Callithrix jacchus: one gene and its partner. The protein of the gene in region 2 purifies or fractionates together with the protein of the main gene of each other region. This does not show direct contact. Links are inferred from orthologs where the notes say so. Each region holds a gene or a part of one and is shown on either strand. Other genes may lie near its edges.

The links. Proteins that work in one complex are often made in the same cells at the same time.
Region 1: the proteins of CRY1 (region 2) and FBXL3 purify together in Homo sapiens (affinity purification with mass spectrometry; 4 studies listed by BioGRID and IntAct, counting the BioPlex papers as one, with this or other methods). This does not show direct contact. The link is inferred for Callithrix jacchus from reciprocal best matches to the Homo sapiens genes CRY1 and FBXL3.

The regions. Positions count from the first base shown.
Region 1 is NC_133502.1:38,294,734-38,301,356, reverse strand, and holds part of FBXL3 (F-box/LRR-repeat protein 3), read right to left. Parts: intron 1,699-6,623; coding exon 1,055-1,698; 3' UTR 1-1,054. UniProt on the Homo sapiens protein: Substrate-recognition component of the SCF(FBXL3) E3 ubiquitin ligase complex involved in circadian rhythm function. Plays a key role in the maintenance of both the speed and the robustness of the circadian clock oscillation.
Region 2 is NC_133510.1:109,861,908-109,869,305, forward strand, and holds part of CRY1 (cryptochrome-1), read right to left. Parts: intron 3,515-7,398; coding exon 3,372-3,514; intron 57-3,371; coding exon 1-56.

The DNA of each region.
Region 1 (6,623 bases), on a different chromosome or scaffold from region 2:
ATATATCCTCTTTTATATTTACTGTTTATGCTAGACTGTACAATGGTGCTTCTTTTGTGGTTTATAAAAATTCTACTTAACATAACTATATACTTCCAAAATGGAAAAATGAGTGAGCCATCACTAAACTTTACTGGAAACTAATATTCTTTCTTGGAGACAACTGATTAACATTTTAAAGTTCTATATTTATTTAAATTTGGCTTTTTAAAATAGGTAAGCTTTTCATTTCAATTATTGTTTAATACTTCAAAGCTAGTTTAAACAAAGATAAGAAAACCAAGGAGAACTAGTAAAGCATTCCTTACTTTACATACAGTGCCTCAAGTGCCACATACATAGTAACATACCACAAGAGAATGTATACGGTTTAGCAGATTACAGAGCAAACCTAAAAGTTTATACAAAGCTAAACACAGCCTCCTTTCTGTCCATTTATTGTCTTTTAATTTGTCTTGGCTCTGTATTATCCTTCTATAATACCACTGTGTGACATTTATCAGTTTTCTAAGTGTTTCAATTACTTATATGTATCTTTTTCTTTAAACAGCTTTGTAACAATCTTTTTCATTAGAAATGATATATCCATTTTTCTCACAAAATGCTCACTTTCCTGAGCTATATTAAACACCTTATAACAGGTGTATGTATAACTGAAGACCCTAAAGTATCAAGTTTACATTTTTTAAAAAATGCATAGAAAACATAACATTTCAGAAAACCTATTAGTACTTCTTGGATATTACATAGGTTTTGTTTCCTTTAGACTGTAAACTGTTTAATATGTATAACTGGTTATTACTTTCACATCTGAACCACATTTTAAAAAAATATTCGTAGATATGATTGCTATTAGGCTAAGGAAACAAAGTTTTCTGACCAAAATTCATTCAAGGGTCTTCCAATAAACAATCTTTATATATACTGACTGAAGATATCAAATTTCTGTGCCACAAAATAGAATTATATCAGAACTACAGCAAATAAAACTTTTATTATAATACATTTGCTTGAAATTAAGGTGCTATTCATCATGCCCTACATCATGCAGTCTTTACCAAGTGGGCATCATGTCAGGAAACCACACCCTACCAAGATGCTTGGACACTTCCCAGTGAATCTGCTCCAAACTATACTTTTGGTCAGGAATTAATACTTCTTCCATAATAGATAATTGAGATAGGCGGCCACCACACATCTTCACAAACTCAACAAAGGCACTACATGAGACTTCACATTCCCCTAGTCCAATAGCTGACAAATTTTTGCAACGTTCTGCAATGCGAATTAACTCTTCATCAAGTGGCCGTAATCCATTTGCACACACTACTAGTTCAACTAGTCTAGGGCATGTCATTCCCACACGGCCAAGCACATCTTTACTTACTGATCTCCCAAAGTACAAATGGGTGGCAGGTATTTCATAGCGAAAGAATGGGTCAAATTCTTCTTCATATAAAAAAAAATACATCACCAAGTTCACTTTGGGTGAATGTCTGATGAAAGCATCCCAGCTGCTCTTCTGAATAGTATGGAAATGTGTCTGTCCAGGATTCTCACTGACTACATCAATACGCAAATGTTCTAATCGAACATGTTTTTCAGAAGACAAAGCAAGTAACAACTCATCACTTAGTAAGTGGTAGTTCAGGGCTAGTTCCCTTAAGCCATGGCACTGATCAGCCACACAAAGGATACCTTGAAAGAAAGAAAGGAAAAAAACTAATTATTTGCAAGTTTTTGTAAAAGTTTATCTGTTCAAAAATTGGATCAAGTACATGTTCCACAAAGTTTGTCACAGTTCCCTTGCCACAAAACTATATAATTTAAAATTTATTTGTATAGTTGAATTAGGAAGTCACACACATTTTCTAAATCCCATCATCTATTAAAAAAAAATAAAACTTATCGACTCAGACAATAATGAACTCTGTCACTTAAAAAATATACCATCACTAAGGTTAGTGCATTTCAGTAATGCACAGTGCCAGATTTTTAAAAAATTATTACTAACACTAAACTTATAGGTTAAATAATTACATGATCACTGCAATGGAGGCCAAAGGACATTTTTTGAAGTTCAAACCCTAATATTAAATTTCTAAGAAAAAATACCAAGATAACACTAAATAAACATGTCAAAAATAATTACTCAATTCTGTTGACTCTGCCTTGGCCTCCCAAAGTGCTGGGATTACATACTGAGCCACCATGCCCGGCCAATATAATTCTGCCCCAAAGAGGCACCTTATATTATCTGGTAAAAGTAACCCACTTAATCAATTTCTTTCTTATGTTTAGAAACAGGAATAGGAACAAAAAAGCATACATCATATTTTCATCTACTATTTATTGTTGCAAGCATAATATGCCAGGTACTAGAGGTTATCCCACAAATAATTTAAAAAATCTGAAAAAGTATTATTTTTCTAACTTGAAGTGGAGACAGCTAGCTAAAAATAGCAAAGCTGCAATACAAACACAGGCTAAGTGATTCTTATGTCCATGCACTTAAGTACTGCTTAAGAAGTGACAAGACAGAGGCCCACATATAAGCCAGAGCTTTATAACAGTGGGAAAAGATAGGCAATAGAGTTACAAGAGAATCACTGAATCACCGGAATGAGTCACCAAAAGAGGGAGTAATGTCTCAGTATTCAGCAATCACAAAGTTTCTGTTTTCCACAAGGTAGGTATATACTTTGTTTTTGTTTGGAGATGGAGTCTCACTCTGCCGCCCAGGATAAAATACAAAAATACAATGGTGCGATCTTGGCTCACTGCAACAGCCACCTCCCAGGTTTAAGTGATTCTCCTGCCTCAGCCTCCCGAGTAGCTGGGATTACAGGCACACACCGCCATGCCTGGCTATCTTGTATACTTTGAAATACCCCTTGATTACTCAAGGTAACCTAAGCATACCTCTGTTCTTTGCAATCTCAAAAAGCTTAAATATAAAAGAAGAACAAACACATGGGAAATGGTAACCAACAATGCAAATAAAAGAAACTTTGGAGTATCATTTAATAACTACAAAAGCAGTTGTGGCAGGTGTAATTCGCAAAATGGCCTTCAAGATTCCATACCCTAATGCCTAGCATCTGTGAATTCCATAAGATATCATGCCCATGACTGTGATATACAGCACAGTTGACCATAAATGAAAGATTATCTGGGTGGTCCTAGTCTAATCACATAAGCCCCTTTTTAAGCAGTTTTATCTGGTTGACTGGAGAAGAGGAAGTCAGAGATTCAAAATGCAAAGGGGACTCAACATGTTATTGCTGGCTCTAAGCTAGACAGAGCCAAAAAAGAAAAACAGAAGCAGCCTCTAAGAGCAGAGAGACCCCCAAACAACCTCTTGCTGACAGCCAATAAGGAAACTGGATGTCAGTCCTACAATTACAGGGAACTGAATTCAGCCAGTAACTTGAATGAATGTGGAAGTGGTTCTTCTCCAGAACCTCCAGATAAGAAGAGCCCACCTTCCTGACACATTCCTCTCAGCCTTTTAAGACTGTAAGCAGAGAAGCCACTTGAGCCCTACCTACAGCTATAATGTACAGAAGAGTGGAGTGAATAAAATGTTTAAGCTGCTTTGTGTATAGCTATCAGTTATGCAGCAAAAAGAAAACTAATATACAGTTCCAAGTGTTTAAAAACATAATACAGTGACAAAGGTAAAATAAAACCAGAGCATTATTACAACTCAATAAATTAAGAGAAAAACCCCAACTGGAAAAAAGGCAAAGGGGCTGGGCGTGGTGGCTCACACTTGTAACTCTGGCACTTTGGGAAGCCTAGGCGGTTGGATCACCTGATGTAAGGAGTTCAAGACCAGCCTGGCCAATGTGGTGAAACCTCATCTCTATTAAAAATACAAAAATTAGCCAGGTGTGGTGGCAGGTGCTTGTGATTCCAGCTACTTAGGAGACTGAGGCAGGACAAGCCCCTGAACCTCCTCCTGGGAGGTGGAGGTTGCAGTGGGCCAAGATTGTGCCACTGCACTCCAGCCTGGGTGACAGAGTGAGACCCTGTCTCAGCAAAAAAAAGATATTCAACACCTTTAGTCATCAACAAAATATAACTCAGCTGGGCAGGGTGGCTCAAGCCTGTAATCCCAGCACTTTGGGAGGCCGAGGCGGGTGGATCACGAGGTCAAGAGATCAAGACCATCCTGGTCAACATGGTGAAACCCCGTCTCTACTAAAAATACAAAAAATTAGCTGGGCATGGTGGCACATGCCTGTAATCCCAGCTACTCAGGAGGCTGAGGCAGGAGAATTGCCTGAACCCAGGAGGCAGAGGTTGCGGTGAGCCAAGATCGCGCCATTGCACTCCAGCCTGGGTAACCCACCAAAGTGAAACTCCGTCTCAAAAATAAAATAAAATAACTCAAAACTGCAATGAGTTTACACCCCCTAGGATGGCTACAATCAAAAAGACAAGTAAGTGTTAGAAGACACTGCTAGTGGATATGTAAAGTGGTACACTGCAGCTTTGGAAAACAGCCTGGCATTTCCTCAAACAGGCAGTTACTATATGATCACTAGGTATATACCTAAGAGAAATTAAACCATATGTCCACACAAAACTTGTACATAAATGTGTACAGCAACGTTTTTCATAATAGTCAAAAGGTAGATTTCCATTTATATGAAATGTCCAGAATAGGCAAATCTATAGAGACACAAAATAGATTAGTGGTTGCCTAGGGATGGTTGGGATGGAGGTTTTGGGGGCAACAGCTAAGAGGTATGTGATTTCTTTTTAGGATAATAAAAGTGTTCTAAAATTGTGGTGATGTGTGCACTACTTTATCAATACACTAAAAGTAAGTTATACATTTTAAATGAGAATTGTGAATTATATGACAGTAAAGCTGCTACTAAACTGATGATTAGTGGTGGCACTAATCATTGATTAATTTTCTCAGATCAACTCATTTGGGAAAAAAGCAACATGACAAGAAGCACAAAAACATTTGGACTCTGTCCTAGGACATCCACTTCTTAAGAATGTACCCTGAAGAAGAAATTAATACAAGCAAACTGCTATATGTGACTTAAAAAAATTTTTTTAAATCACAGCAAAAAGCAGAAACAAGTGTACAACCTTAGAACTATAATGCAAATGTTGGCTTATCAACAAGGGAACTAAGTAACTAAATGTTCATTAGTTCAAGCTGATAATTAATATTAAGGAAGCAACAGGCACCTAGTGGGACCAACAGTCATACTAACCTAGAGGTCCAGTTACAAACAATTATAACAACTATATGAAATGGAAACAAAATTGACTAAATGTTCAGTGAAGAAATTAGAAAACAGTACCTAATTTCAACTTAGAGAAACTGTCCAAATATGCAAAAATATATATGGAAAATATGTAAATATGAAATTTCAATAGAAACCTCAGTTATACTTTTCAAATAAAAAGTATTGAAAGTATTCTTTCTCTTCCCTTCCTTTCCTGAAGAACTAGTCTAAAGTCACTATGAAACCACCTTTGCAAAATTATAACTGAGGAAATAACAACAGTGAAAGAAGTCAGACCTAACAGACTCTATATTGCCTCTAACCCTTAAGCTGCCCTTGTTCATTCCTATGCGTAGGCCAACTAACTTTGGGAAGGAATTCAGTTCATGGTTTGACTCTGAAACAAAATTGATAACAGCCCTTTCACGAAATGACCCCTCCTTCTTGCCTGAGCTCCAGTGTGCCTTTACAGGACTTCTACACTAGCTACAAGATTAGAAATTACCATGTGGGGGTCATGAAGCCGAAGCCTCTGGCTTCAAGAGCCTGGACCTCCCCAGGTCCAGGCTTGAGATAATTTGCAGACCCTGTGCTGGCTAAATGGTCAGCTGACACCACCCAGACTGGTAATCTGGTCCAACCAGTTCTGCCATCACACGTGAGAACAGAAGACATTAAGAAAACCTAACTTTGACCCCCCTATGATTCCATCTCCAACCTGACAATCAGGACTTCCCAAGCCCCTACCTGCCAAATTATCGTTAAAATCTCTGATCCCCAAATGTGCCGGGGAGACTGATTTGAGTAATAACAAACTCCAGTCTCCCACACAGCTTGTTCTGCATGAATTACTCTTTCTCCACTGCAATTCCTGTCTTGATAAATCAGTTCTGTCCGGGCAGCGGGCAACGTGAACCCACTGGGCCGGTTGCAATTAACTGGGATCAGGTAAGTTTATATTATACTATCAGAACTGATGCATATATTTAGTAAAAATGAATGAACACAGGATATACCCAAATAAAGAGAACTATGAACCCACAGTTTTACAGAGGAATCAGAGACATAAAGATTCTCATACAATATGGTAAATGCTAGCAATAATATTCAGAGTGTTCTGGAAATACACAGGTAGGGGATCTCAACCAGAAAAAAGAAGGGAGGGTCAACACAGGTCACATTTAAGCTGAATTCTGAAGGTTGGGCTGGATGAAGTTAGTGAGATGAAGTTAAAACATTTGAGCAAGTATTCCACAGGGTAAAGTGTACTGAGCAACCACAAAGTGGTTCCATAGGGCCCAAGTAAAAGCTGCAAGTGAGTAGCCAGCAAAGCAAGATTAAAGAGATAGGTGGAGGTCAAGATAC
Region 2 (7,398 bases):
GAGTCTGGAATCTTTTATAAGTTAGAGGCGGTTGTCCACCATTGAGTTCTATGATCCTATAACAACAGTTAGTAAAATGTAGGTTAGTATAAAAGAGGGCAATAAGTTTTGGTTAATAAGCTCCCAAAAGGCTTAAAAAGCAGAAAATAAAATTAATCACTGAAATCTTCAAGGAGAATGTTAGCTTGTTATAGTGACGAAGAAATGTGTTCAAAATGATTAATGAGTTTAAAAATCATTCCCTTTAGCTTCTAGATACTCTAGGTATCAAATATATACACACTATGCAAGTATCAAAACCTTTAAGACAAAGAATATTAAGGACTTATGAGAAAAAAAACCAAGTAAGTAAGTAAATCAGTCTAAAGGCAATAACAAAAAGTTAAAACACACAGACATATGCAAAACACGTTATGGCCCAGCTCAAAGAATCTCTCAATCACCAATAAAAACTAAACCAGGTTGACAATTATATGAAAGAGTAAATCAGCAGGTGTCATTTAGAAAAAATAAATTTAATTGTGTATATTTGAGCTTTACAACACGTTATGGTATGCAAGTAGACAGTAAAATGGTTACTATAGTGAAGCAGATTAACGTATTTATAAATCTCATATAGTTACTTTTTTGTATGTGTGTGACAAAATCAGCTAAAATCTACTTGATAAAAATTCCAAATAAAATACAATTTTAATAACTAAAACCCTCACTCTGCACACTAGACCTCTAGACTTGTTCATCTTATATAACTTCTACTTTGTATCTTTGGATCTACATTCCTGATATGGTTTGGCTGTGACCCTACCAAAGTCTCATCTTGAATTGTAACTCCCACAATTCCTACATATTATGGGAGGTAACTGAATCATGGGGGCAGGTCTTTCCCATGCTGGTCTCATTATAGTGAGTAAGTCTCACAAGATCTGATGGTTTTAAAAGGGGGAGTTTTACTGCACAGCTCCCTCCTTGCCTGCTGCCATCCATGTAAGATGTGACTGGCTCCTCCTTGCCTTCCACCATGATTGTCAGGCCTTCCCAGCCATGTAGAACTGTAAGTCCATTAAACCTCTTTCTTTTGTAAATTGCCCAGTCTTAGGTATGTTTTTATCAGCAGCCTGAAAACAGACTAATACAATTCCCCTATTTCCTTCAGCAAATTTTATTAATTTGGATTCTATATTACTATAAAAGTAAATTACAATTACTTTCTATTTACCATTGTACTCATGCCTTCATTAGAGATGTCAGCATATGTATCTATGACACATACTTAGAACACATAAGCCCCCAAATTTCAAGTTATTTAAATTTACCTTTTCATTTACTTCTGATCACTAATTACCTCAATCAAGTCTTAATTAAAAAAAAAAAAACAACTAGCTTTGCCAATGGTAGTTTAGATTAAGTTTAAACACTATTTTGGAATAACTACTCTTTTTCACTATGGCCATTTGCTTAGCATTTGGCCTTAATAAAAAATCACAGGTGAAATCCAATTCCATCGTTTTTAAAAAATATATTTTTTATTTTTATTTTTATTTATTTATTTATTTACTTTTTTTTTGAGACAGAGTTTTGCTCCTGTTACCCAGGCTGGAGTGCAATGGCGTGATCTTGGCTCACCGCAACCTCTGCCTCCTGGGTTCAGGCAATTCTCCTGCCTCAGCCTCCCGAGTAGCTGGGACTACAGGCACACGCCACCATGCCCAGCTCATGTTTTGTATTTTTAGCAGAGACGGGGTTTCACCATGTTGACCGGGATGGTCTCGATCTCTTGACCTCGTGATCCACCCGCCTTGGCCTCCCAAAGTGCTGGGATTACAGGCTTGAGCCATTGCGCCCGGCCTATTTTTATTTTTATTGCATTTTAGGTTTTGGGGTCCATCATTTTATAGATGTGGAAACAGGCCTACCAGGAGGGTTAAGTAATCTAGTCAAGGTCATATAACTGATAAATGGCAAATCAAGGTTTTCTTAGTATATTTTATTGTATTTTTTCATACCATACATAGTTATGTGTCAACTACAGATACAGAAAGTAATACAGAAAGCAATCACCATAAAAGCTATCCTGTTTAAGTAAATTTTGCTTTGTGTATTTTGAGTTTATTCATAGGTTTGCAATAAATTTTGCTATAAAATCATTACATGAATTTGTAATTTTGCTACAAAATCATTACATGAATTTTGCTACAAATTCATTGCAACCCTATGAATAAACTGATAATGTAATGTATTAACAATACTACTACTGAGGACATTGGTAACTACACAATAGCAGCAAAATGAAAATCTTAGGACAAAACACTTTCTATATGTTACATTTTAATATGATAGATTACATATAGTAAATATTTGCATTCAATTCAATAAACACTAATTTTATGCATAACACTGAATCTCCCACTTAGAAGCAACTGCTTTTATCCTGTTTTGCCACCTCCTTTCTATGAGCTCCCTAAAGTTAAGCAAATTGGTGAGATAGAAAGCAAGGCTATTACTAAAAGATATATGAATTCTAGCTTAATATCAAGTTAGACCTTTGTCTGAATCAAATCATGATTTTTTGATACACTTAAAATGTCAAATCAAATCAACTAGTTTGTCATGTTACAGAATTTGTCTTACTAGATAAAATATATAAATTACTAAAAAGCAAAATGATTTAAAAGGTACATAAATTATAAGATTTCAGTACTTAAAAGGACAATGGCATGCTAAAAGTTTTAGCAAGTTAAGAAATTTTATAGATCTCTAAGACTCAAGCATATAATACTCCCTAAATTTAAGTTTTACCACAGAATTTCAGTGGGACAAAGCATCAGCCAGGACTGGTGTTTCAAGAAATACACTTTGAGAAACATCCTATTATGCGATTATTCAGAGGACTATAGCTATGCACATTATATTACATCCAATTTGCATCTGGATTTAAAATCCAGACAGATAGATATATATGAAAATAAGATAACATTAAACAAACATACAAAATATCAAAGCAATTTATAACTATGAATAATATAACTATAAATTGATAATGCTAAGAGCCCAGAAAGGCAAGACCACAGGAGGCTGAGTTAAGAGTAGTCGAGGAAAATTTTGCAACAGTCTTAATCCATAACAGTTTTGAAATGGAAATGCTGATACCTGTTGTTGGGTCAGTAGCAGTGAAATAAAATGCTAAGGATTTGACATATATTCACTTAATTCTCCCATAACTCTGATTTCTACTTCATAAACCTCAGTTAAAAACTTCTCTATGTAGTTATACACCACCAAACTATATACTTAAAAATGGTTAAGATGATAATAAATATTATGTTATATGCATTTTCCCATAGTAAAAAAAGAAAAGAAAAAAAAAGACTCACTTGTCTAGGTCATATAATGTATGTGAAATTCTTACAATGACTTCTACTCCAGCTTCAGTTGCCAGTTTCTTAATAGCTGCATCTCGTTCCTTGCCAAAGGGCTCAGAATCATACTCAATTGAAAGTTTAGTAATGTTCCATTCCTAAATTAAGAGAAAGAGCAACACTGTAAACCAATTTTAATAGTTATTTTTTCTATAATAACAAAAAGTGAAAAAACTGAAAATCTATGTATCAAAGGATTATAATAAATCAAACTTTGAATATGCAGGAAAAAAGCAAAAAATTTATCAATTAAAAAATATGTAAGTAATAAATGTATAACCCATTAGATTCCAGGCATTATGTTAGGCAATAGATAATCTAGTGAAGCAATATGCTTAAAACCAGCTCTTACACGAAATGTGTTTGTAGAGCACTTTTTCAAATTACTCATATTTACATTATTTAATTCGAGCCTCAAAAAAACACTCAAGAGTTTGGCACTTTGGTTAGGATTTCCATTTTGGAGTTAAGGTTATTTTTAAAATTTAGAGAGTTGCCAGAGTTCACAGGGAGCCAGACCACCTAAATTTATGTTTGTTGAATCTAAGAACTGGTTTTTAACAAACCTTTGATAGTTGATATGGTATAAGCTACCTAGCTGAGGTCATATTGTGTGTGTGCACGCACACACGTAAATTTTTTTTTCTGATTACCAAAAAATGTTAACTAAAAAATTCGGAGATGGTAGTAATAATAGCCATTACTTATTATCAGGAGCTATGTTAGTAAGTTCCATACATCACCTTACAATGATTTTAAATGAGGAAACTGATTTAAAGGAATTGACTTTTCTTAAGGAGAAGGTTTATTTTACTTTAAGTCTACTCTGATTTATCTCACAAAGAAAAAATTCTACCATTATTTAACTGTCTAAATGGTAACATACTGTAATTCACCAAACACCTCCAGATTAGTCAAGGACTGTTTGAATGCTGAATTTTAAAACTTGCTATTATAAACTATACAGTATGTATCTTTACCTTTATGCACATATCTTACAAAGTTTATGGTATTTACCCAATTTTTTTCCTAGAAAAAAACCCTTGAAAAACAACTGATAGATCAAAGATAAACACATTCAAAATTCTGATAGGCTGTCAAATTATGTACCAGAAAGACTGTACAAATTTAGATTCCCATCAGTAGTGTACCTAAGTGCTTGATCTCCATACATTTGCCAATAATATATATTAGTAATTGTTTTTTTTTGTTGTTTGTTTTTTAGACAAAGTCTCACTTTGTCACCCAGGCTGAAATAACAGTGGCATGATCTGGGCTCCTGAAATCTCCATCTCCCAGGTTCAAGAGATTCTCCTGCCTCAGCCTCCAGAGTGGCTGGGATTACAGGCACGTGTCACCACACCCAGCTAATTTTTGTATTTTTAGTAGAGATGGGGTTTCACCATGTTGGCCAGGCTGGTCTCAAATTCCTGACCTCAAGCAATCCACCCACCTCGGCCTCTCAAAGTGCTGAGATTACAGGCGTGAGCAACCATGCCTAGCCAGTAATCGTTTTTAAATGTCTGCTATACTACTCGGAAAAAAACAGTATCTCATTTAGAAATTTTTCCTTTCTTGAAACTCCTAAATAGTACACATCAAGACATTAAGGGCTGTTGACTTTGTGAGGAGTAGAATTTGAGAGTGTAAATAAGATAACTTTTAATTTTACATTTTGTTGCACTGCACAGATTTGTTAGTTCAAACTTGTTATTTTTTTTTTTTTTTTCGAGACAGAGTCTCCCTCTGTTGCCCAGGCTGGAGTCCAGTGGTGCAATCTTGGCTCACTGCAACCTCTGCCTCCTGGGTTCAAGCGATTCTTCCACCTCAGCCTCCTGAGTAGCTGGGACTACAGGCGCCTGCCACCACTCCTGGCTAATTTTTTTTTTTTTTGTACTTTTAGTAGAGATAAGGTTTCTCCATGTTGGCCAGCCTGGTCTTGAACTCTTAACCTCAGGTGATGCAACTGCCTGAGCCTCCCAAATTGCTGAGATTACAGGCGTGAGCCACTGTGCCTGGCCCAAACTTGCTATTTTTTAAATTTAAAAATTAAATTAAGATGAGAATAGAAAAGCATTCTATTTCTTTGTTTTCTAGTGAGGTAGTATAGAATAGTTTAAAAGCACAGGATCTAAAGTTAGACTTCCTAAGTTCAAAGACTGGCTCAACTACTTAGGCAAACTGCTAAACTCTTAATCCCTGTTTCCTAGTCTATAAAATGGGTAGAACAAGTAAGGTGTATAGAGAGTGCCTAGCACATAATAAACCCTATGTAACTATTTGGTACAGTAAAGTGAGAAAATTAACCATATTATTGGGTTGCTAAAGAATTAAATAACATAATGCATGTAAAGTGTTTAGGATAGAGCACAGTACAGAGCAAGCCCTCAATGAATGACAGCAATTAATACACCAAATATTTATTATAATTCTATGACAGATACTATGCCATATGCCCCTCTCCAGGAGCTTACTGAGAAAGACTGGCAATACAGAGGTAAATTAATGAATATATAACAATTATTAGGGGAAAAAAGGATGCTATGATACAGAATATGGAAATGGGGTATGAGGCGATAAACTAATAATCTACACTGTCTTCCATGACTGTACCGACAAGACTTCCAGTAAGTGGTAAAAGTAAATATCCTTGTTTTCCTATCTTGGGTAGAAAGCATTCAGTGTTTCACCTTTAAGTATGATTTTGTGTGTGTGTTTTGTAGACTTCCTTTATCAAATTGCTATTTAGCAGTTGATATGGTTTGGCTGTGTCCCCACCCAAATCTCATCATGAATTGTAGCTCCCATAATCCCCACGTAATGGGAAGGACCCAGTGGGATGTAAGTGAATCATGGGGGTGGGTTTTTCCTGTGCTGTTCTCATGACAGTGAATAAGTCTCACAAGATCTGATGGTTTTATACAAGGCAGTTCCCCTACACAGGCTCTCCTGCCTGCTGCCACATAAGATGTGCCTTTGCTCCTCCATCTTCCACTAGGATTTTGAGGCCTCCCAGTCATATAAAACTGTGAGTCAATTAAATCTCTTTCCTTTATAAATTACCCAGTCTCAGGTATGTCTTTATTAGTAGTGTGAGAACAAACCAATACAGCACTTTTTTTTTGTACTTTAGGTTCTGGGGTACATGTGCAGATCATGCAGGAATGTTCCATAGGTACATACATGGCAAGGTGGTTTGCTGTCTTCATCTCCTCATCACCTATATCTTGTATTTCTCCCCTCGTTATACCTCCCCACCCCTTGCTGTCCCTCCCCTAGCCCCCACCAACAGACCACAGTATGTGATGCTCCCCTCCTTGTGTCCACATGTTCTACTTGTTCAACACACACCTATCAGTGATAACATATAGTGTCTGGTTTTCTTTTCTTGTGTCAGTTTGCTGAGAATGATGGTTTCCAGATTAACGTCCCTATGAAGGACATGAACTCATCATTTCTTATGGCTGCATAGTATTCCATGGTGCATATGTGCCACATTTTCTTTATCCAGTCTACTGCTGATGAACATCTGGGTTGGTTCCAGGTCTCTGCTATTGTAAACAGTGTCGCAACCTGAACATACGTGTGCATGTGTATTTATAACAGAACAATTTATAATTATTTGGGTATATACCCCATAATAGGATTGCTGGGTCAAATGGTATATATCTTTCTAGGTCCTTGAGGAATTGCCACACTGTCTTCTACAATGGTTGCACTAATTTGCACTCCCAACAGTGTAAAAGTGTTTGTTTCTCCACATCCTCTCCAGCATCTGTTGTCTCCAGATTTTTTTAATGATCGCCATTCTAACTGGTGTGAGATGGTATCTCAATGTGGCATTTCTCTAATGACCAGTGATGATGAGCATTTTTTCACATTTGTTTGCAGCATAGATGTCTTCTTTTATAAAGTGTCTGTTCATATCCTTCTCCCACTTTTGAATGGGTTTGTTTTTTCTTGTAAATCTGTTTTAGTTCCT